Linked DNA regions of Drosophila melanogaster. The protein of the gene in region 4 interacts with the protein of the main gene of each other region in a pairwise test. Each region holds a gene or a part of one and is shown on either strand. Other genes may lie near its edges. The genes, in order: cpb, CG13671, scb and Cp15.

The links.
Region 1: the proteins of Cp15 (region 4) and cpb interact in a two-hybrid assay, tested with the Drosophila melanogaster proteins (one large-scale study listed by BioGRID).
Region 2: the proteins of Cp15 (region 4) and CG13671 interact in a two-hybrid assay, tested with the Drosophila melanogaster proteins (one large-scale study listed by BioGRID).
Region 3: the proteins of Cp15 (region 4) and scb interact in a two-hybrid assay, tested with the Drosophila melanogaster proteins (one large-scale study listed by BioGRID).

What each region holds. Positions count from the first base shown.
Region 1 is NT_033779.5:1,702,146-1,708,540, reverse strand, and holds cpb (capping protein beta), read right to left. Parts: upstream 3,640-6,395; 5' UTR 3,430-3,639; coding exon 3,427-3,429; intron 3,411-3,426; exon of another isoform or gene 3,264-3,410; coding exon of another isoform or gene 3,261-3,263; intron 3,142-3,260; coding exon 2,314-3,141; 3' UTR 1,764-2,313; downstream 1-1,763. Other genes in the region: CG17660 (uncharacterized protein), read left to right, coding at 1-79, 139-259, 327-480, 543-769. UniProt on the Drosophila melanogaster protein: F-actin-capping proteins bind in a Ca(2+)-independent manner to the fast growing ends of actin filaments (barbed end) thereby blocking the exchange of subunits at these ends.
Region 2 is NT_037436.4:8,297,403-8,304,083, reverse strand, and holds CG13671 (uncharacterized protein), read right to left. Parts: upstream 4,021-6,681; 5' UTR 3,969-4,020; coding exon 1,872-3,968; 3' UTR 1,743-1,871; downstream 1-1,742. Other genes in the region: CG7194 (uncharacterized protein), read left to right, coding at 94-262, 594-1,465; Arl5 (ADP-ribosylation factor-like 5), read left to right, coding at 4,794-5,333; Rab19, read right to left, coding at 5,860-5,964, 6,013-6,269, 6,465-6,549, 6,612-6,681.
Region 3 is NT_033778.4:15,246,104-15,252,858, reverse strand, and holds the start of scb (scab), read right to left. Parts: upstream 4,076-6,755; 5' UTR 3,564-4,075; coding exon 3,376-3,563; intron 210-3,375; exon of another isoform or gene 37-209; coding exon of another isoform or gene 1-36. UniProt on the Drosophila melanogaster protein: Integrin alpha-PS3/beta-PS is a receptor for laminin. Also binds to wb. Important during embryogenesis for the development of the trachea, dorsal vessel and salivary gland, as well as for dorsal closure. Required for short-term memory processes.
Region 4 is NT_037436.4:8,725,943-8,731,044, forward strand, and holds Cp15 (chorion protein 15), read left to right. Parts: upstream 1-2,538; 5' UTR 2,539-2,584; coding exon 2,585-2,596; intron 2,597-2,667; coding exon 2,668-3,003; 3' UTR 3,004-3,124; downstream 3,125-5,102. Other genes in the region: Cp18 (chorion protein 18), read left to right, coding at 893-907, 1,082-1,585; Cp19 (chorion protein 19), read left to right, coding at 3,966-3,980, 4,070-4,576. UniProt on the Drosophila melanogaster protein: Chorion membrane (egg shell) protein; plays a role in protecting the egg from the environment.

The DNA.
Region 1 (6,395 bases), on a different chromosome or scaffold from region 4:
TGGCGGTGCTGGACACAGGAATATGCTGGTGGATATTCACCTCGCTCGTGCAGACAACTCGCACTCTCCGACTGAGGAGGTGACTAATGCCAATGATGAAATCTCAACACATGCGCTAACAATGTGTACCTTTTCCAGGAATATGGTCAAGCTCTCACTGTACAGGCACTTCACCAACACGCTGATCTTCGCTGTTATCGCTTCCGTCATATTCATGCTGTTTGCTTTGCGTTTGCGTAGGGTCGAGAATTGCACGCCTGTAAGTTGTTGATTAGCATGAATGGAGCTGCGAACAGGGGTTTGCTGATTTCGTGTTTTTTTTTTAGGGCTGGCGCGACATTTGGGTGGATACTGGCTTTTGGCACATTTTGTTTTCGGTTCTGCTGCTGGTGATTATGATTCTATGGCGACCGACGAATAACAACCAGCGCTATGCCTTCACTCCGCTGCTGGATAACCCGGAAGACGAAGACGATGAGGGTAAGTTAGAACCCGAACTTCTGCTGCAAACAAGGACTAATTGACTCCTTAACTTTTGGCAGACGAGGAGGATCAGTTCGTCGCGGATGCCTACGGCGTGAAAATGCGCGGCCAGAATGGAACGCCGAAAACGTCGACGACTTCACGAAATGCCACGACCACCGAGGAAGACGACCTGCGCTGGGTGGAGGAGAACATACCGTCTTCGATGGCGGACTCGGCGTTGCCCATCCTGGACTCCGATGAGGAAATCATCAACACCAAGTTCGAGGTGTCGAAAATGCAATAAGCTGTGACTTTCGCTGGACCGAAGAGACTTTTTACGCATATTTTTGCACATTTTCACGCAACCGTGTCTCCCGCCAGCAGCTATGTATTTTTTAGTTCTATCCGCCATTGAGGAGGAAAACCCCTTATTGCTGCGCTGCGCTGACACTGATCTTCCAATTTCGAGAACCGTCTGTCCGGCCACGCCTTCTGAGCCCGTGTAAAATAATGTATGTAATCGTAGTTCCTTCTACGCGCACGTCCTCCCCCCCTCTAAATAAACCTAACTTATTCATAATACCTAGCCTAAGTTGTAGATACCTATGCGACGATCCGAGAACTTAATTTAAAAACTTCGACTTGAATTCTTGTGCTGCTGCCCCTAACTACACTCGCAAAGGTGTATGAGTGAGCTGTTGGTGGTCGCCTCATTGTATGTATATAGCTGGTAACACAAGACGAAACGATCTATATAAATCTACGAGTATATTCTGTAATAACTATGATAAAACGCGACTATGCAAAGATTAAAAGTAATTGTCTAAGTAAGCACACAATCGTTTGCGTCACACACCTCAAGGTATTTAATTACATATTTTTAATCAAACGGTCTCCGATTTTCATAAATAAATGCAAACGTATCTTAAAGGTAGCCATGAACCAAACTCGCCATGTTTTTCTTTAGTCCTTATCTAACTAGCTTATGATATGATATGTCGTGACTAAAAGTAGAATATGGTATACATCGATGGAGTGATGTGTAGTAGTTTATTTTATATATCTTATCTTTTGCGATAATATGATGTTTTCCCCCAATGAAACCACTTCTAGTTGTAATTCAATATTTATTAGTTTCTTTGTATAAAATTTCTCTTGCCTTCCAAATTTCAGTTAAAAAATATTAAGTAAAGAAGAAAGGTAATGTGCATTTCCTCAGATAATACAATCACAAAGCGATTTCAGTTAATATTTTGCTTCGAGCGCCTTACTGTTAGATTACACACAAACACAAAGTTACAATTAATAAACACAATATTTATTCGCGGAAGGATTAAGAACGAAACGCAAGTGCCTCGACTTCGGTGCAAATATGCATTATTACAAATAAGATACAAATACTTATGGATACTGTCTTGAGGGCGGCGAAGTTGGCATTTTCGGCTGAACTCTGGATGAAGCGCGACTCCAAACGGCAACAATGTGGGAGGACAGTTGAAACGGGCGGGCAAAATTTACATTAATGTGCTTCTCGTGGTGTAACAATTTTCTCATGTAACAAATTTACTGCCTAGAAATGCGTATTTAATATTTTTTAGTCAGCTCTTTAGTCCAGTCCAAGCGGAGTCCTCCACGGAGCTGCTCAACACAATTGGGCGAGTAACAGCGAATTGGGTGGGTGCAGCCGAAATATTATGAAAATTATTTATATTTATGACAATATTTAGTGGTGACAACAGTGCCTTGCAATTCGAATATTGCTGCGCTCTTCTTGGGAGCAGCCAGCTTGTGGGACGCCCCTGGACTGGATTGGTTTATGTGGAAATTCAGCCTTCAGCCGCTCAGTACTCAGTTCGATTCGGGCTTGACATTGCGTCGCAGGATTGCCGCTGCGAGGTCCTGCTTCATGGCCGCCTGCTGGCGCTGATCGGCCAGTGATTGTGTGCTCCTTAGTCCGTTCACGATGTCCTTGGTCTTGCCAAAGTAGATCTCGTTCAGGGTGTTCCTGATCTTGTTCTCCATCTCCTCGACCATCTTGCCAATGTTGGCGATGTGCGGCGACGACTCGCTGACGTTGGCGTCCTGCTCCTGCTGCCGGGTGAGGGATCCGCCCAGATTCATGGTTCCCGAACCCTGTTTGTTGGTCTGCAGCCAGAGCATTGCCGTGGAGGTGAGCTTGTAGTGGGCCGTCCTGCCGGTGGTCTTCTCCTGTACCTCGACCACATGGATGGAGTCCCAGCAGCCGCGGATCATCTTGCTGCCATCTCCCGCCTTTTTGATCAGTATAACGGCGGCAAACCCGTGATCCAGATCCCATAGGTAGACGGAGGAGACGCCTCCCTCGTAGTACATCTCCCTGTACTGATCGAAGGCATAGTTCGCCTCGATTTCCAGTTTGCGCAGTCGTTCCGAGGGCATTTGGCCATCCTCCAGCGGCGGATAGTAGGAGTTCGACCAGGGCGATCTGTAGGAGTCCCCATCCCGGTTATAGTCGCACAGCAGATAGTCCTTGCCGTGCTCCTTGTCCTTGGCGATCTTCAGCGGCTGGTCCACGGAGGAGAGCAAGTCCTCGCAGAGATCCGGTGCCAAGTCTATCAGATCAATAAGGTTCTTCTCGATCTGCTGGGGCGGCAGCCTCCGCATCAGATCCAAAGCACAGTCCATCTGCATTTCCGACTGAGAAGAGAGGAGAAGAGACACCAGTGAAATTGAATTTGAGTCACTGCACCACCGCCGATAAGAGAGCCCAAAAAATCCCTCCGCTTTCCACTGCCACCCGGCAAACCAGGGATTACCATATATGGGCATTATTTGAGGCCACAGGCCGCCGCCCCTCTGGAGGTTTTCTCGGTGGATTAGGTGATTGCCAAGAATATTTGGCTTGCAGAATGGGCGGTTCCGACCAAAAACACCGTTTGTTGGCCTGCTTTTTTTTCTTGTTACTATTGTAGTATTACTCACCATTTTGGTACTTTCTGCTTTCCCTTGTTTCGATAGTTTTACACTGTTTATGTTAGGGGCCTGCGTTCGCTGAGCAGGGCCGATCTTAAACTCTAGCTAGGATTTCGGGCTTATATTGCAAGTGATTGCACTAAATTGACTCTTTTTCCTTATTATTAGGATTTTTTATTTTTGCTATGGTGTGCTAGAGCTGGAACACAGCCCGATTATTATGCGATATCGTTCATTTTGGTGGAGCATCGATTGCTCGCTCGATTTGGTATATCGATTTCTTACCCGCTAACTATCTAGCGGAAATATTTGAAAATTAACATAACGAATGGCAGTTACTTACTTACAAAAGGCAATAATTTGCAGTACACTTTATAAAAATAAACTCTGGCACTCAATCCGCCCGAAATAAAACCATGGTCTTACTTTTATTATATTTTAGCAACAAGTTTATTGAATTTAGTTTTCGTTCATATACTTTTATGCTTAATTCCATTCTGGTTGCCCATTTCCTCTCCGTGTTTTGTGAGTTTCTGTTACAATGCGTTTGGTTTGTGTGTGACTGTGGGTTTAGCTTACTCGTAGTTTTTAATATGTTACACAAAAATGTATGGCATAATCGTAAATTTTTATCCGAGTTCGTGTTTAAAATATATTTAAGCTGCTTCGCTTTCGCACTCTTCAGACATACATACATACTTATTTAGAAATCATATGCGTGCTCCGAAAACGTATCCTTCTGAATCGATCCTTGGATTTCTTGATTTTTACATTAATTTTAGCCAAATACGTAGCGTGTGGGATTTTGCCTCGTTAGTAGTAGTAGGTTCAATAAACTTAATTAACCGCTTTGGGCTTAGACTCGCGCTTCAAGTGCGCTCTTTAGGTGTATACTTCGACCATATACGATAAATGTAAAATCTCAGACTTTAATTTTTAACTAAGGTGCACTACATACAGAAATCGTTCAGAGAAATGTGAACTAAATCGAGGGATTTTTTTTCGCAGCTCTGGATTTTTAGCCAGGATAAAAACTGTTACAGGTGACTTGTAAAATTAGGGCAGGTTTCACTAATCTCGAATAACTTAGATAATTATAATTTGTATTTCTTAGTCGTTCTTTTGAAGTTTAATATTTCGGCTAATTAATATTGATTTATTTACTTATGCTCTGTCGCATGCTAGACACTGTGCCAATATTCGAAATCAAAAGCGGTTTCAGATTCAATAATAGTACATAACTCCATTTTCAATCGTATTTCTCGTTTCATCGTTTTTCTTTCGCTCAATAATTATGCAACACTTGCTTATCAACGCTTCTTCGACAATCAAATGTAATCACAGTTTTATGTTTTCCTTCTTTATATAAACTCATTTTCATTTAGCTATTTATTTCACTATTTTCGCATTTCGCGTCGAGTATGTGTGTGTGTGTGTTTCTGTGAGTGTGTTTGTTGTGGCTTGTTCTTCTTGACTTGTGTGGGTGGTAAAACTAAAAATTCTTAGGGCTGGTTTACTACACGCCTAGTCCTCATGTGCTTCAAAAACTCACCTAACCTTCTCTCAATCCTCAATCTTCAATCATCGATCCTCGATCTTCAACCTTTCGGATCCCATGCTTATGAACATCTCAACTCACTGATCCTTGCCATGATCGCATATTAGATTATTAATACTATTACGTATTTAGAAAACTTTAAGAATATTGCACAACTTGTGAAAATGCTGATTCTGACTTCTGACCGACTGCCCGCTCGATTCGTTATAAGTTTTTAAAAATATTTCATTTAATATTTAATACCTGAGTTGTTCATAATCGTTTCGCATGATTATTACATCCGTTTTGCGGTTGCTTTCATAATTTTTTTTTTTTTTATCGTAATACATATCGAAAAAGTTTCTGTTTTTCTTCTCATTATTTATTTTTTTTTTTTGTTTGTATTAAATGCATGTATACATCGTCGTGAGTCTTGATAATGCCCTGAGTTTGCTCCAAACGGATTTGCGTTTTTTTAAAACTATTTTTTTTTTTGTTTTTCGTTTAACCTTATGCACGTAAAGTACTTCTCATTCCGAAATTCCCTCGCAAGTGGACCGTTGTCGTCTTTTTTGAATTCAAGTGGTTAAAATTTCGTTTGGGTAATTCGAAAACTTTTCAGTTCAGAACAAAGTAAATCGAATAGTTCATGTGTAACTCAAGTTCTGTTGCATTCATTCTGGTTTCAAAAATAATTGGTCCAAATAAAGGAAATCAAAGGGGCGTAATCTGTGTGGAAACTTAACTTCAATCCTAAAAAGTCACACCAACTGTTCGTTTTTTTTTTTGACCGACAGCCTTGCTTAAAATTTTAACTTTATATTTATGCCGAAAAATTTGTACGATTTCCTCTTTATCGTTACCTCGCCTCTATATATATTTAATTAATTTTAATTTATCTGCTAAATTTCGTTTGTTTTTCCTGAAATTTTGTACTCGTCATTGTTCCAAAAGTTTTTGTAGTTTTCAAGTGTGACTTATACGCAATACGAACGCAATTTGAATGGGAAAACCAAAGCGTGAGTTCAAATAAAACAATCAAAATACACACATTAAATATAATTTGTACTTCCTTCGATCCATCGTGTTAGACAAATTTACAACAACTTGATTTACACACTGAGGGGCGCAGGGGGAGACGTGGGGGGAATGCTCTTCTATATATGGAGTATACACCATATGCCATATATACCATGGCGTACATACAACTAGCTTCATCTTCAAATTTCGCATTGAACTGAACTGTAAAGTTGCTTAGGCCTAAACACATTGATTTTGTTCATAAAAATTACTTTCGATAGTCGTAAACTTTAGTATACATATTTCGTTACATTTATGTTTTTTTTTTGGGGTCGGGTTTTTTGGGCATAATCAATCGAGTCCGAAATGCTGTCAGTACTGTGGGTATAGGAAATTGGGTGTTGTGTTTAATTTGGTTAAC
Region 2 (6,681 bases), 430 kb from region 4:
GTAATTAATAAAATCAAGAACCGCAGCAAATGCGGCCTCATTCGTTCCTAAAAGTTTTGATTTGGAAGTTCAACGTTAGGCTTCTGTGAAAAAATGAGTACCGCTAATCATTTTCAAAGAATTCTTGAGAAATTGTCAATCTCTGACAATGAAAGGGCCGTATATACCAAGGAAGCCGAGGAAATTCAAAACTATGTAGTTGACGAACTTAAGCGGGTAGACAAAACCTTTCGCCAGGTATTCGACGGACTCAGTCTTGGAGGTAAGTTATTTAATTTTAAATATCTACATATATTCTACATATATTCTACATATATTTCTATATAAAAACAAAACAAATAAATAGAATAATGTTAGTTACAAGACATTGTCTGGTCGATTTTCTAATGCATTCAATATTATTTTTAATAAAAGTGTAAATTGACGGAAGTAATACAAATGTAAGTCGAGATAATCCAACGCTATACAATTACAATTGATATCTCTTGCTTTATTTTGTTTTATCATTTTTGCAAGAAATGTTGTACTTTCGTAAATTCATCGTTATGTATGTACATTATGTACCTAAAAATATATGTACACGTATCTTTTAGGAAGTTACTTGGATCGCGTCAAGCTAAATTTGCCCGATGAATTTGATCTGCACATGAAACTAAAGTTTCCATTTGATATCCGACCGACTCGGATCGACCAAGGGTTTATTTATTTAGAGGCTGATCTCACCGTAATCAATCCCCAACGCATCCATCGTATTGTACTTCAAGACTGGCTACGCAATGCATTCCGCAAGGTATTCAGGTCTAATCAGACAATTGCCACTACCAGTAATCGAGTCTACAAATTAACCTATACTCTTGAGGGGTATGGTTGTGCCCATACCATTTTAGCCGTTTGTGGTAGTCGCTCGATATCTTTTGATTTGGTACCAGCATTCGAATTCTCTGGAAGCCAATGGCCGTTTGATATTTGCCCGGTTCCTGCTGATGTTAGCAATAATTGGCCATGGTTCGCCATTCCGCAACAGAAGAAGAAGTCGGCTAAACCGAGAACCACATTCATGGTTTGTGCACCACATTGGGAGCGCGAAATTATGAAGGGCAAGGATAATTTGAAGAACGTTCTACGGCTGATGAAAGGATTGCGGGATGCCCACGCCAGGAAATTGCCTCACTTGTCCAGCTACATGTTGAAAACAGTTTTGCTTCATCGCCTCGAAAGTGCTGACTGGGAAAGAGACCTGGGCACCCTATTGGTTGAGATGTGGAGTCATTTGGTGGATCATCTACGCGCTCGTAGACTGGAGTTCTTTTTGGCTAAGGATCATAATGTATTCAATCGTATGAATCAAAATGAAATCAAGATATGTCTAGAAAACGCAAGCACTCTGCTAAGAAAGCTTTGTATTGCTCAGACATGCGGTGGTAGCTACCATCATGTGGCCCAACTATTCAATATTCCAAATTAAGAAGAATTTAATTTCAAAACAATACCGAGCCTTTTTCATGCCATTTGCAGAAAGGAAAAAGCGTACATGCACACATTTGGCTCATTCACAAGGGCGCAGAACAAATATTCGATTATATCCGAGGCTGAATAAGCACATATCTTGCTGAGTAACAGAACTTTAGTGGAAGAAAAAAGAAGTTGAATCAAAAGTCATTTCGGCCGCACATTTGATTGTTTACATTGTCCCTGAACTTTGTTTAAAAATAAAGCTACGAAAAAAAATTGATTTACCCTTTGTTTATATGTATGTATATTTATACAACTATGAGTGTTAAATATCTTATGAAGAGACAACTTTAGCCTTACGATCTACAGGAAATATCAACGGTAACTTTTAACTAAAGTTATATTTCAGGGGGATTTCGCTATAATCGAATGCTGCTTTCGATGGACATGTGCAAGTTGTTGAACTCCCTTAGGTGCGAAAGGATGTCGTCCCGCTCCCGTTCATAGATATCCCAGAATTTGAGATATTGGTTAACGTGCTGGAGTACCAGGTTGCGGGCAAAGTCAAGACAGCTCCTAACGTTACGCATCCGCCGCCTGCAGCTGGTCAAGACCGAACGCACCTGCTGCTCCGGCTCCAATTGGGCGATCACAAATGCAAAAACGTTTTGCACATCAATCCGCACATCGGTTGGGAAAACCACGGATTCCGCGCTCTTTGCCTGGGGGAAGACAATTAGAGACGGCGTGGTTGGCATGGCCAACTCCCAGGGCAGATCATTAGCCTGGCTATCGAAGCGTACAAAGTGCACCTCGGGGCTGCCGAGCAGCGCCGAAACCTGCAGAAATGCTTGGGATAGAACGGCTGACAGAGCGCAGTCAGGACGATGCATAAATACCACATTGGTGACATTTGGTCGCTGGATTGCCTGCAACAGCATCTGTCTATTGTATTTTCTACTGAACCCAGATTCCATCATGGCAAGAGCATTTTTGTGAGTCCTTGGCAATGTTCTGGCGTAAAACTGCCGTATAAAATCTTTAAGAGCTACGTAGGAGAATGTGTGTTGCTGTGGCATAACATACAGTGACTCTTCAGCCGCATCCAAGATGAAAACCTGCACCTGCTGATGGGTTTGCTGAATGCCAAGCTGGTGTAGATAGTCTCTATATTTCACAGAATCGAAGATCACCACGCCCAGCGACCGATTGTGGGCTGCGCGCTCCGTCGAGTGCTGCCAAATGAGCTGGCCATATTTGGTTACCATTTTGGCAATGCCGATTTTTATGGCCGGCGTTCCATGCTGTGAGTGTGCCAGGCAAAGGTTTCTGGAGTGAAGCCGCAGCAAGTGGGGGACGTTTCGATAACTCGGATGGTTCTGGTGCGAGTACTGCCTCCATAGGTGGTTTAGATACCTATTAATCCGATAATAGTTCTTAAGTGTGGTCTTGTTTTTACTCCAGGCCGGGTAACATGTCCGGGTTTGTTCACCATCCCCAAACAGCTCCTTGGGAACTTGATTTAGGGAGGAGGATATGTCTTCAGATTGTTTATCGAATTTTTTCCAGTAGTCTTCGCACCCCTCCGACTGCTTTTTTTGAGCGTAAGCCATCTCCTCGCCCATGACGCTAGCATGGTGATATTGGTTCATTCGAACTCCCATAGCCAGCACGGGGACATGTCGTGCCTTCATGGCGATGGTCATAGGAGTGCCATAGCCATTGGAGAACAGCGACATATTTTTGAGTGTGCTCCGTACCCAGCGCAGAATGTCGATGGTCTTCCATACTCCAGATGTACCATTAAACGTATGAACTCCATTTCGGCTGTCGATAACTACAAACTGGGGCAGCTTGGCCTCCGAGGACTTCAACATCTTCCTGGCACTGTTGCCAAAGTACACGGTGAAGCGGATATTCCTCTCCGGATCCAGTTCCAGCCAGCGCAGACCGGCAGCCAAGTAAAGATTGTAGGCCTTGTCGTCTGGCGAGTCAAGCAGACCCAAAACCACCGCATCCGAGTGCTTCCGAATGGCGGCGAGATCCTGACTACTGTGTGCCCGGTCCAGTGGCTGAAGCAGGTTATTCATGAACCGGGCGAGATCTTCAAAGCTCCACGAGCCCTGGTACTGGAGTAACTGCTTTTGGCCGTAGCGCACGATCAGCGTGGGCCATTTGTCAGGATAACCTCCTGCGCCGGCGACTCCTGGTGCCGGCATCAAAGTACGGCTGCAATTGCACTGCAAGTGCCAGCAATCGATGGCTCCAAAGAAGCCATACTCCTGGTAATAGTGGGCCAGTCCATTGTAGACCAGTCGTGCCTGCCGTGCTTCGCTGGCCCAGGACACGTAGTAAAATAGCAGCGAGATCTCTGACTCTGACGCTTCCGCACGGAGCTGGGGAACACTGCGTCCGGGACACTCGACAATGGGAGCCTGGTCGGATGTGGCTGACCTTGAGGCGTCCAACTGAGCGATAGAGAGAGCCAGGAGCAGCAGGCTCAAAATTATTTTCATTGCAACCGGTGGGAAGCTAATTAGATGTTAAGAACAACACAACAGCAACCGCCGTGAACAGATGTTTGCCGCGAGGATGGCCACACTGGTAACGTCGGTAGTGTTGTTAATAATAATAATTTATAAGTAATGACTAAATCTAAATTTTAAATTTGAAAATAATTCTTTAAATAGGTTCAATATTCAAAAATAACTTGTTTTGGAAATGCAAAAGAAACGTTGTTAAGCACTAAATGGTTACGGTCTCATTAAGCTTTACTTTCTTCCCCACACTGCCCGCAGTTATCGATAGCAGCACTATCGATTCCAAGTGATATTAATTAATCACTTCTGCTGTTTACTTTCTTAATTAAAACTCTGTTAATTAAATTATCAACAACGGCTGTTCTAAACCCACTGCGACGCGTAAACGAAGTAGCGTTTCCCGCTGCAACGAAACGAATGGAAACCACCCAAAGGCAAACCACCTGAAAATCGCTCACCAATCCCCCCAAAAAAATTCCCATTTGGCGAAAACAACAACAGTAATTAGGGTGTGAGAGTGTGGAGTGAATAGCTGAATAGTTAAATCAGTGAATAATTTACCGTACGGCCTTCGCCTTCCCCTGCGGAAACAACAACAAAGCTCAGCGTTCACTTACACCCACACACACGGGTCTACCACGCATACACACGCAGGCCAGCCGATAACCTGTGTGTGAGGCAATCGCCGTCATCGTTCGAAATCAAATCTCTAATCGGTGGAAGCAGCAACAACAATAACAGCAGCTGCAGCATAATCAACAATTGATTATATACGTATATAGCTAAAAATAAGGTTCAAATATGGGACTGTTATTATCGCGGCTCTGGCGGATGTTTGGCAACGAGGAGCACAAGCTGGTGATGGTGGGTCTGGACAACGCGGGCAAAACCACCATCCTGTACCAGTTCCTGATGAACGAAGTGGTCCACACAAGTCCCACGATCGGTTCCAACGTGGAGGAGGTCGTCTGGCGGAATATACACTTTCTTGTCTGGGATCTTGGTGGTCAGCAGAGTCTGCGCGCCGCTTGGAGCACCTACTACACGAACACAGAGCTGGTGATCATGGTCATCGACTCCACGGACCGGGAACGGTTAGCTGTTACGCGGGAAGAGCTCTACCGGATGCTGCAACATGAGGATCTGAGCAAGGCCAGTTTGCTGGTCTATGCCAATAAGCAGGATCTCAAGGGCTCTATGTCGGCGGCGGAAATCTCACGACAACTGGACCTCACCTCCATCAAGAAGCACCAATGGCACATCCAGGCCTGCTGTGCGCTCACCGGCGAAGGACTCTATCAAGGATTAGAGTGGATCGTGCAGCGCATCAAGAACAAATGACCCGCCACACATGCTACATATTAGCTAATTAATCATTAACGACTAGCTGTCTAGAGAAAGTAAACCAATTTTGATATAAACAATTTTTAAGCGTTTCCAAATTGTTTGAAAAGTTGTTGCCAAGCCAATTTTATTTAGTGTAAAATACGTCCGAACAGGAGTCCCTCGATGATTTAAATCTACGTGTATATGGATAATGTCTAGGAGCTAAGCCAATTTAACTACGATACTTCCAATAAAATTACAAAATAAACGAGTTTATTTCGACACTGTCGCATATCAAATTGAATACAAATTACAAATAGAGAAGTGGACGTATTTGCCTCTCTGAGCATTGCCTTGTAATTGACATTGTTGGCTCGATTCGCTGATGTGTGAGATTGTTTGTACTCTATCGTCAAAAATAAATACATGGTTGTGTAAAAGTTAGTGTCTAGGATTAGGTTAAAGCATTAGAATACTAATATATAGCCACAAGAACAATTTGATCACAAAAGTAAAAGCAAACTAAAGAGCGGATTTAGGTCTAGGTGAGATTGCATGAGCTGCTGCAACTCTTTAAAGGCTTTCCCTGGCCCAAGGTGATGGTGTTTTCTGGCACCTCCTCCACATTGTTGGCATCGTGTTGGCGCTGTAATTGGAACATCATTAGCTTAGGTAACAATAGCCGGAATCGTACTTTAAGTTCGTTGGCCAGGCAGCGGAAGGCGTCCTCCACGTTCATGTTCTCCTTGGCGGAGGTCTCCATCACGAACAGGATCTCAGGTATATATTGACACATCTGGCGCGCCTCTTCAAAGTCCACCTCGCGCTGCTCCTCCAAATCGCACTTGTTGCCCACGAGGATTATCAAAACATTAGAAGCAGTGTATCTACGCACTTCTTCGATCCATTTTTGCAGATTGGAAAAGGAAGACCGCTTGGTGATGTCGTAAACTGTCAGGAGGAAACACATGGTATTCAAGTAGGGTAAACAAACACCCCGCTGATAAGGCGCTTCGCTATTCAAATCAGTGCCAGGCAATCACTTTAAAGCGTTCTCTGGTTATCAGTAGTACCTATTTGGCATGACAAATGGATGGGCGTATGCCTATGCCCGACGAAACAAAAGATACCCATACTGGGACTCACCAATTAAGACCCCGTTGGCCGAGCGATAATAGCTCTGCGTAATAGTGCGAAACCTCTCCTGACCAGCAGTGTCCCAGATTTGTAGCTGGAAGAGGGGCAGAATATGAGTCATATTAGTGGCGGGATCTGGGCAAATCCGTTATGCACCTTGATTTGTTTGCCCTCCACGGCGATGGTCTTCATCGAAAAGTCCACTCCGATGGTGTTCCCATGTCGC
Region 3 (6,755 bases), on a different chromosome or scaffold from region 4:
TAGCAGCGCCCAGAAATCACGATCTTGCCCCACCATTTCGGCAGTTTTGCAGACCGCGATTATTCAACAGATTAATGCTACGCCACGCGTTCGTCGCCTGAACTATCTGCACTACGATGTATTATCACTTTCGCTTTAAGCGATGCCGAAATCCGCCGCCGGATATAGATTGCTGCCGTTCCGATCGAAGGTCTGTTAGCTACTAACCAAGCGCACTACTCCCCAGAGACCTCACCGCTCGGCGGTGATAGCGAGAGAGAAAACGGGTTACGGTTATGCTCATTCCTCGACATTTGCTATCTCAAAAGGTGCGAGAGAGCGCCGCTCTGTTTTGACCAGGCTTACTCGCGGTACCGTTGGGGCTCTCGTGGGAGTGGCGTGAATAACATCTTCAAAACGATTGCCATACCATATTTGCGCTTTTTATAAAATTGTTTGTTTTCTTAAGCAGCAAAAGCTGACTAATAGGACAAGATGGAGCGGAAAATGTAAGATAAGTCTTAACTGTAAAAGAATTTATTTTTCCAGCTCTAACACTGCAACCTTTGCACTTTTTAAATTTAACTGATTTCATTTTTTATCGAAACTTCGAATAATAATTCAAACCAAGGAAACTAACTTACTGCATTTTTTTATGAAAACGCCAGTAAGATTGCACATATAATGTGAAGCAAACAATCGTTTTTAATCAGCTGCATTGACTGACTCATTTCAAACCCACTTCACAGGATATGAGGTTCAATTTGAGATTAGACAGTTCAAAAAATGTATTGATTTCTTTGTTAAAACAGTCAGTAAAAGTAAACTATGGATGACACCTTTGTTATTGGCAAAATACGAATACATAATACATTTCATAATTCTCTAGCCTTAGTTTCACCTCGATTGACTTTTTGATTTACTTATCTATACAAGTTTTCCCCCGTTCGAGTCGGTGGCTTAGTCAGTCGGATGAGTCACCATGCATGCACTTATTTCCCGGCCTGATTTCAGGCGTAACTTTATCCGCATCTCGGCGCGAGTCAAATGGTTGGAGCTTAATTGCATGCGAGAAAAAAAAAACGACAGTCTCAAAAAAAGAGTCAACATATTTAAATAGGCGAATAACAAGCACATGCCACTTTGGCTACCTGATCCAGAAATTGTTTATGCTGAATATAAAGTGGTGTGAGGCCTAAAAACAGTCAGCCAACATTTGTTTTGGACTGAACGTTCGGCGTATCTCAGCTGTAATACAAAGTATGGGTTGTCGCTTACGTATTTTCCCAAAACATGAGTCATGGCCAAGTAAACCATGTCTGCACACGCATCTGCCCCCAAGCCCCAACTTTTTCCATGGCCTTTGTGCATAACTACAGCGGTGGTCAATTCAGTGTGAGCAGAAATTAAACAGAAACTTAATAAATTGTATTACAACTGTTAACTTAATTTATTTTAGGAAGATTTGAATGACTTTTTGAAGAACTATATTTTTTTCACCATCTGTTTCACAAAACAGTCACCTTACAATTATAACCTATTAGTTATTAAAAAAATAAACTAACTTAAAGTATTTTAAAATATATTGCAACTTTATATATCTTTGCAAATTGTCTTCTAAAAAATAGTTGTATGGCATACAACAGCATGCTAACATAATTGAAATGTGAAATTTCTTTTAAATAGTATAATTTCGTTTGTAAAAGTACGCTTTTGGTGCGATGGCGCTTTGTTTAAATGCCGAACAAGGAACGTTTATCCGTTTTTGTGCGCGGACAATAAAACATCTTGCGGACCACACAAATCTCCAGCGCCATCTCCATCAGCCAAACAAAAACAAAGAACCGCTGCAGCGTGCGGTCATCAAATGTTAAGAACAAAAGCCACCATGCTGCACCGTTTTCCGTTGTGGAGTCTTCAGTGTTTTTTTTTTGTTTTTGTTATAAGGAATTCGGTTTAATGACCCAGCGTAAGACGGCTAAAAATATTTGTGTGTGGTGTCAGCTGAACGGACGAACTCTTCGGAGGGCGGGGATGCGGATGGGGGCAGGTCTGCAGACGCCATCGCCTCCAAATCGGATTGGAAACATTTGTGACTCATTTCGCCAGAATGCAAGTGGTGTTGGGAAACTGTGAGTGGATGCACTTCCCCCGCATTGGATTCGAATTCAGCCCTAATTTCATTGGGAGACCGTAAACAAGAACTACACTTTTTGTTTGTTTCAGCTAACTTCAATTGATGTGATATAAATTACGGCTTGTCGTGATTTTACGCGCAATTTCCGTACATAATTAGGCGCACTTCGTAATAGCCAAGAGTCATGGGTATTTTGGGATCCAAAGTGCTGGTAATACAAAAAAATGTAGGGGGGGGGGGAAGAGCGGGAACTGTAGAGGAAGTTCCAAATTACCCATCCAGGTTTATGGAAATAAAATATGGTCAAAAGCTAGCTCGTTATGATCGCGTACGAGTACTGCATTCAAACCAGGTTTACTGATCGCCTCAATTAAAACCAGATAAGGTTGTACTGACCAAGTAGTTCTTGTATCTAAGCTGTGGCCTGAATTTTGGCAAATACATAACCTCAACTACTCTAACATAAATTACAAAGCATGAACTATCATCTCTCTTTTTCGTTTAAGAGAGAATACAGAGTAGATATCTCGAGAATATCTTAAAAAGCGTATCTGAGCTTCGATCTGACCACTTTCTTCTTATTCAATTAACTGTGATTTGTGGCGCCGACTGAGGTGTGTGATGTCATTTTTTGGGGCCCGCAAACCAACAAAAGTAGCCGCCATATGATATGTAGGTCGCCCGACTCACTGAAAATTGTTCGGGTTTGTCAATTGTTCGAGACGGAGTTGCGATCTCTCGGATCTGTGGCAATTGTAGTTGAAGTAGACAGTTTCTTTTTTTTTTTGTTATTTTTAGAAAATTCGGTCTGAAGTGGTATTGCTTTCGAGAGGTTTTCAAGCTGGGGTTTTCGACATGCCATGAGAGTTCTGTCCCAAAACTCGAACAACCTATGCTGAGCACCCATTTACGACTTGGCGAAAATGACATTTTAATTTCTTGGCAAATAGAGCGACCGAGTGTTAAGTGCCAATAAACCACCCAAGCCGATACTAATTTTGTCGAGCCTCGACTTCTGTCGATCCCCTTTCGCAAGCTTCAGTTTCCATTTCCGTATGCCAGAAGTTTCAAAATATTGACAGAGGTGTGTTGGCTTGCAACTGAAAGCACTCGCTTGTCTTGCGTCAAACATAAGAAATATGTTGATCGGTTATCGAAATAAGTATGTTTTCGAAGTATGGAAGAATCTCCCTCCAGACCCTTACACGTATGTATGCAAATATTTGCCGCGATCTACAGCTGGAAAATAGGTAACTCACCTGGTCTGGCGGATGACAAGCGTGTATCCAAAGTAGGAGCTGCGAGTCTGGTTTATGTGGAACTTCAGATGCTTCGGGGAGTTTATCACCCGACTGGGTCGCGGCATAAAATTGAATGCTTCGATGTGAGAGATCAGAGCCAAGAGGGCGAGGAATATGTGAGGGAACATTGTCGATTCAGCATTCATTGGAACTCATCAAAATTAAGTTTTCGCATTCGTAATTTCGTAATTTTGGTAATTTCACTTGAATGGACCCCGGCTCTTCTGAGGGCAATAAATCACAATTGCGCCAGAGAGCCACACCACTGAAACAGGATCCGTTGGCACTCACTTATTTATGATTTATTGAATTTAATTGAAGCACTCACACACTCGAGATCGCTGCTGTATGGCGGCGGCGTTCTCTCGAAATTATATTAATTTAATTAAGCCCAGCCGGCGGCTTTCGCAAATCTCTCGCGAGATCTAGGTGGCAAACTTGTTTTGGCTCTTGTCACTTTTGCCGGCGACAAGTCGTTGTTAATCGCACTACTCGACCGCGCCGTATCTCTGCACTGATGTGTAGCTAATAGCTAATAAATAGCATATAGCATATAGCCTATAGCATATATGGTGTTTTATTTCCGCAACGCTAGTCCATAAACGGGGCAACAGATCAGTGCTGGACGTTTTCACTCTTCGACGACCCGAACCGAAATGAAATGAATTCAAGTGCTGCAGCAGACTTGGACGACCGTCGATTCTGCTGGCCGATGTGTCCACCCAACACGATGGTCGAAAGAGATGTTCTGACCTGCTGTAGTGTGTGTTTACAAACATGGTTGCGCTGAGATTTCTGATGATCATTGATAATAACAATAAAACTTTAAGGTTTTCAAATATATTTTTTTAGTATCTAATATATTGTTATAAGAACTATCTATATATAGTCTATTAGTGCTTTATATTTTATACCTACACTTGATTTTGTTTAACAATACTATGGTATATCTAGTACCGGTTTTTGTCAGTGCATTCTCAATTCGATTGCGACCATTTGTGGTGGTGGCTCTCCTTGTTCGCACGCTACTTGCATTTACACTCCCCCTACGCGTTTGCTGCACCCTCGCACACACACAAACGAACGCACACACACAAATAAACGCACACCCAAGTGCGAGAGTACAAGTAAGTGGGTAAAAAAGCAAACGCCTGTCACCATGGAGTTCCAACTGGGAGCCGTATTTTCTTATTAATACTCATTGAAGGAATCCCGACTTTATATATATGGAAACAGGCCAGCTTATTTGTTCCTCATCATCTGGTAGATTTGGTTATAATTAATATTTACAATGTTTTAAGGCTCATCAAGATCTGCACACTGAGAGAAAGGAAATTGTTTTTATGGAAATGTACTTGTTAGTTCGTAGTTATTGCACTTATTCCTAATTTATTTCTTATGTATTATACTTAAAAGATAAGTAATGTTTATTCTTTATTTAGTTCTACTTTTAAATAATCTACATTCGTATTTTAAAATATTTTCTCCGAGTGATTCCTTTTCGGGATGTGGATGAGTGCCAGTGGAAACGGAGAGCATATGGCGGACATAAAGGATGCCGATCACGATTCCCAGGCAAATGGCCACCCGAATTGAACGGCGTACTGCTGTCATTGAACTTGGCTGCCGTGGCATGGTGATCAAATGGCTTATCAGCGGGCCCCAGGGCAAATATTTATTGTAAGTATAAAGTAGTATATGCCCCTCGTGCTGCCTTATCCGTTCAACGTTTATCATTGGGGTAGGTTGGGTGGTGGTGACCACAATTTATTAACTTTACGATCCGGTGACATGAAATTGTGCCCAGCACGGGGGGTTCAGTGGTTCAGGGGTTCAATTAGATCGACAGGGGTGTACTCTAGTTGACTTTTCCTCCAGCTATCGGTTGCCTCAAGCTGATAAGTTGGAAAACCGCGCTTAGATCGCTGGCTGTTTGTGCGCCCAGTAATTGATTTTCATTTTCAACGCAGCCTGAGCCCGCCGTTTATCAAGTCAATGTAAAACAATAAAAACTAATAAAACAAAAGTGGGGTCTGAGGTCTGGCAAGTCGTTTCCACCGATAAGCGAAACTACAACAGCCGATTACGCGCCATAAAACTCAATTCACAAGTCGAATGCTCCCAATACGATTCATAAATAAAATTCTCTTTAAAAGTTCGAAAGTTGAATGTTTGCCAGCGATTCATTCGGGTAAACAAAAGAAGTTCAAAAGGGCGGCTAATTCGGTTTTCCAACGCCGCATAGCAAGTGTTTTTTTGGACCAGGCCGCTATTGAAATGCGCAATTAAGCGCCCGCCAGGCGATTTGACAGCAATTATGTGTTACTGCACGCCAGCAGCAACAACAGCGATTGCTGCAACAGCAGCAGCAACACGGCCGCAACTGCAGAAGGGGGAGGTGCCACGCCACACTGCCAGGCACATAATTGAAGTTCATGACCCCCCATCCTCCGCTATCGGGGGCAGCTATTTCTGGCGCACATCCCAGTCTCCAGATGCAACCAGTAGCGGCAACAAAAGCACGAAACAGGGTGCAAATTGAAATGTTCCGGAGCTACGATGTGCATCAAATGGGGGAGCTGCCCTTGAAATGGATCCGTATAGAACTCCCAGTTGCAATCTGTCGTTACACTTGGCGGAAGTTTGTGACTATTGTTAGCGGCGGACACTTATCAGCGAGTTGTGTATATAATGGTTGAATCGGAGTCACAAGTCAGCAACAACAGCGGTGCCGGTGCAAACTGCACTAAAAAAAAAGTGTTGGTTCATACTCAAAGTATAGCTAGTCATAATTTGAGTTTTTGTTATTCTAAAAATTCTGTATTGCACCTATTATATTATATGTCGATTTCTTAAGTGGTAAAATGTCCAGTTTTTCTCTAAGTGCTAATGGATATTTATCGAATCGTCGACGTGAGCTTGAGGCGCAAAGCGGCGCCTTATTTGGACTTTCTGGGCAGGCATAAATGTCAAAAGGAAGTGTAAAAAAAAACTAAACACGTCCGTGAATCAATGCAGGTGTTCACCTTCCTATGACGTCACCAATTTATATACATATATAATGGTAGAGGGGTTTGTTTGAGCTCAGTAAAAATATTATTTCCAGGCAGAGGCAGAGAATGAACTTATTGCACATTAGTGGCTATGGAAATAGATCCTTCGAGAGAAGCGCAGAAATTATTATAAGAGACAGTCGTAAAACTAATGACCAGCCAACCCTTTCAAAATTTCGAGCGCCGGCGACAGGTTGAATAGGTGTCATAAAAATACCAGTCCGTAATTGATCTGCTGGCCTAAATATCGGAGGCCGATTGAGTGGCAGACGACGCCCACATAAT
Region 4 (5,102 bases):
AGGTTTCAGCCGACTTACATTTGCATTGTATTGCGAATAATGTTACTATTTAATATTTATCGTGTCGTCGTTGGCGCTAGTTCCAGTTTCCAGTCTTATAATATTTTTACTTAATTCCTAAGAGCAAAGCAACTAGCTTAAATCCCAATAAAGCAATCTTGAAGAGAAAATGCATACGGAGAAAGATCGTTTTCACTCGTCTTCTGGCTACTGGATGCTGGTACCCTGAGCCTGGCCAACATCTAAATAATTTATTATTCATTATTAAATGTTTGCGCCCGCCCATAAGCCATTCACAATTTGTGTAGCGCCAATTGAATGTTATAAAAAGCTTAGTGCGGCAGTTTGGAAAGTGGAACGGTTGTGTTTATAATTTTATTGTAATTTTATCTCAATTTTTTTTGCTTTTGTATATAAATTCTACCAACGCAGCAGAATTTTCAGGCCACTGCCTTGACTTCACTGTGTCACTGAAAAATCGGTGTCAAGCTCTCGGCACCGTGGGGCAAAGCAACTGCAATACTGATCGAAACTATGCGGATCCGGAGCACGAAGAGTCATGCGGTCGGAATCTTACGTAATGGGTCTCGTCTCTGGTAGACGATGGCGTAAGCACAGACGCCTGCTATCTGGACCGGCCCGAATTGAGAGCCAGCATTTTGGCCAGTGCGGATTCGGCCTGGCTGCACGTCTCCGGCGGCGTCTCAAGATTGCTGGACAAAGAGGCGAGGCCTGGAACTGCGTCTGCGGGAACCCGGAGAGCCGAAACTTGCATCATATTCGTCACGTAAGAGTTGGGCCTCTGCCTGGATCTGGTATAAAAACAAAACATTGCGCCAGAATAAGACATTAGTTACCTTCGCATCGATCAACTAACCAACTCAGCCTCAGAATGATGAAGTTCATGGTAAGCCTTAAGTTCCAATATTGTTTCTATTGACACCTCAACTGAGTCCAGTATGATCCTTTCAATAAAATATAACTACATATTATAATAATTGGATAATATGATTGGATCTTTCTTTTCTAATACACTTCAGTCTAAACCCAAATTAATTGAATTTTTTCTTGAATCCCTTAGTGCATCTGCCTCTGCGCCATCTCTGCCGTTTCGGCCAACTCCTACGGACGTTCCCGTGGTGGATACGGTGGTGCCCCAGTCGGTGGCTATGCCTACCAGGTGCAGCCTGCCCTGACCGTTAAGGCGATCGTTCCCTCATACGGTGGTGGATACGGCGGAAACCATGGAGGATATGGCGGTGCCTACGAGTCGGTGCCTGTGCCCGTGTCCTCTGCCTACAGCGGTGCCAATGTGGGATCTCAGTACTCCGGTTCCGGCTACGGCGGTGCCCCACCAGTTGATGCCCAGGCCATTGCCCTCGCCAAGCTCGCCCTGGCCGCTCCCAGCGCTGGAGCTCCTCTGGTCTGGAAGGAGGCTCCCCGCTACGCCCAGCCCGTCTATCCCCCCACCAGCTACGTGAACCAGGAGTACGGACACAGCGAGAAGGTGAAGGGAGGCTCCGCAGCCGCTGCTGCCAGCTCCGTGGCCGCCGGAAAGAAGGGCTACAAGAGGCCCAGCTACTAAGTGGCAAAACGTTGAACAGTGAACCAAAAACTTACCTGCCCATAAGGAACTAGGTCATAATAATAAAAGCCAAAACATCAAGACTTAAAATTTTGAGTACTGTATTCTTGCTGGGTTTTTAGTTTCGGGCCGAGAATTGAGATCTGCATATCTTAGCTGAATTGGCATAGACTTGCGGTTCATTGCAATGCCAAGCGATACTTTGAGCCAGCAAAAATTTCGTGGTTTCGTAGTTAAATGAAAATGCTGCTTAAAGTGCTAAAGAATAATTCTCATGGCGAATGAAGCTGAAAAGCTAAAACTAAATTCATTTGTGGGGCCACTTTAAAACTATAGTTCGTCAAATAAGCCTTGACTTTTTTAAGTTACCATAAGTAAAGAACCTATTAGATAAAATGAGATTAGATAGAATATAGTTTTGCTTGAAATTATGTTTTTGTAAAATTTCAAAATGATTGAAATACTTTAAAATGTTTTAGTTATAATTTTAAGTTTTGTATGTGACTAGTGGTCACTTTAAAGGGATGATTCTATATAGGTTTTATCAGAAAAACCGGCTGGAACCAGTTCTAGAAGAATCCTCACTTAGACAAGCCAAGTTCCGGACACAACCGACCTGGAAACCATTACCCCCGAGAATGTGGATAATATAAAGTTCAATTCAACAAATTTTGGACTGTATTCGAAAATAAACGCGTTCGTGGTTCCCATTTGGAAGAGTCGCGTGTTCGTAGTGCTATCACTACCCAACACCCGGTAGAATAGCACATCGCGTAACCAAGCGATTTTATAATGGCTTGACAACAAGTACATAAATCAAATGTGAGTATATTCCAGCCGGGCAATTATGAAATGCCATTTCTGGGCTGAAACAGAACAATTAGTGTATATAGGTCACGTAAATGTCCAGGCTAAAATTTGCGTATAAAAGCGAGCGTTTCTGGTCGGTAAATCATAGTTTGATTGATTACCCCAAACCAACAAAACTAAGCACTCACCATGAAGTACCTGGTAAGTTGTGGTAGTCCCCGTGAAGGAGTGGCAGCCAACTGATCCTCCGGATTTCCCCTTTTCACCTTCAGATTGTCTGCGTTACCCTGGCCCTTTTCGCCTACATCAACGCCAGCCCAGCGTACGGCAACCGTGGAGGTTATGGTGGTGGCTACGGTGGTGGCTACGGTCCTGTTCAGCGCGTCGTCTACGAGGAGGTGCCCGCCTACGGACCATCCCGTGGCTACAACAGCTATCCCCGCAGCCTGCGATCGGAGGGTAATGGAGGAAGTGCCGCTGCCGCTGCCGCCGCTTCCGCCGCTGCCGTGAATCCCGGAACCTACAAGCAGTACGCCATTCCCTCCTACGAGTTGGATGGCGCTCGCGGCTACGAGATCGGACACGGCTACGGCCAACGTGCTTACTAATTCTCGCTTCATCGGCAGTGAATTGAACTATCGACTCCTTGCTAAAATCCTCGAGTGGCTGTCATGGCGAAACTCTGAGAATCAGTGAATAAAAGCAGCTTGAACGCAATGGAAAATACCGAAAAGAAATACGTATTGTGTGTTTTGCATTGTGACATACTTTTCAGCGCATTCGGGTTAAGATTTAGCGGTGGGTCATTATTATTATTCCACACACAAGATGGGTTTCAAAGTGGGGCAGCTAGAATATTCACTGCGGCAGATTGTACAATACTATATAGAAGTACTATTGCACTTTAAGCTACAAAGTCGACAGGTTAAGCTTCAGTGACTCAAGAATTTAGTCACCTATGAAACCCTTAGTTTCACTAATAGATTCTTAGACGAACATCTTAAATTGTATAATCAAACAAAGGGCTATATATATTACAATAACATATTTGCCAATGTGCATAAAGGCATAGACTCTGAAGTTATGTTTTATCGTTAAAATTTGGTTTGTTCTGTTTACTTGAAGGTATAGATAATATTATAAAATCCATATCCAATAACCATTGGTCAGTCGTTGGCCCGTTATCCCATTAACCCGCTTGCGTTCCCGCACGCACCCAAATGCAACCATTGATTTTGGGCCTCAGTTGGGAGCATCTGCATCTGCCACCCCCAACGAAGGTCAACCGGCGAATGGAGGCGATACGATACGCTGCGGTGAGCAACCTGCTCGAGCCGAAACGAGCTCAACGTGGAGCCCCGATATCTGGCTAGGAAAAGCTAGAAATCCACAGAAAGTTCCCCAACAAACTGGCCGAGAAGAGACGACGAAGCCAGCTCTTGAGCCGTGATAAATTTCTGGGCGAGATCACGTTTCGAGTGCAACAATAAATTTGCTTATATAAAGAAGTGTGCTTGGCCATTTAATATGTTAATTCAGCCAACTGTGCCAAAACCCATACATCATAGCCATGAACAAGTTCGCTGTAAGTGTCCCTGAGAACCGCTTCCGTATTCCCTGCCGCTCTTTCATTTTCCGGACTTATGCTAACTGAAAGTTTTCCTGATTTTCCAGACTCTGGCAGTCATCTTCTGCGCCTGCATCGTGGGCAGCTGCTACGCCAACTACGGTGGCCAGCAGAGCTACGGACAGCGATCTTACGGTCAGGATAGCTCCGCCGCCTCCGCCGCCAGCTCAGCAGCTGCTGCTGGAGCCGAGGGTCAGCAGCGTTATGAGCGCCCCGTGGAGATCATCGCCGGCGGTTACCGCGGCAGCTATGCCCCCGAGATCCTGCGTCCCATCCAGGTCAGCGGTGGATATGGCGGTGAGCGACGTGGCTACAACGGTGGCAACTACCGTCGTGCCGGCTACGGACCCCGTTGGACTGTCCAGCCCGCCGGTGCCACCCTCCTGTACCCCGGCCAGAACAACTACAAGGCTTACGTCTCGCCCCCGGAGTACAGCAAGGTGATCCTGCCCATCCGCCCTGCTGCTCCAGTGGCCAAGCTTTTCGTCCCAGAGAACCAGTATGGCAACCAGTACGTTAGCCAGTACTCTGCACCCCGCAGCAGCGGCTACTAAGCGCATACTTGATTATCCCCAGCCAACCTGGCGGATACTTGATCTCAGCCTGATCGTGTACATAATAAACAACAAGAAAAAATCATAATCATATTTGGAATATATATTTTTCGGGGCTTTTAGGTATTTTTTTGTATATCTATGAGAAAACAAATTTTCGGGTCTTTCGAGCTCAAATGCAGCTGCAGCAGCTGTTCAGAGCGGGTGGAGCATTGTTCATTTGATTGCAGTCGCCACCGGGAATGTCTTTGAGTGGCTCGGCGGAAACGTGCTCCGGATTTGCTTGCTCCGGTTCGCTCGCAAATCACTCAGCAAGCCATAAACAGTCAATTATTTATTGTGTCAGTCAGTCAATAATCTTGAGGCCAGAAAGCGCCACAGTTCGCCGTGTTTGCCGATTGCCGCGCTCATTTTCATATTTTCTGTATTCTGGCTGGTAAGCAATCGCATCTGCTGACTTGTTTGGGGCCAAACTCTTGGCCAAGAGCTTCAATGTTGCTGGCCATCGCTTGACATTCGAGTCGAG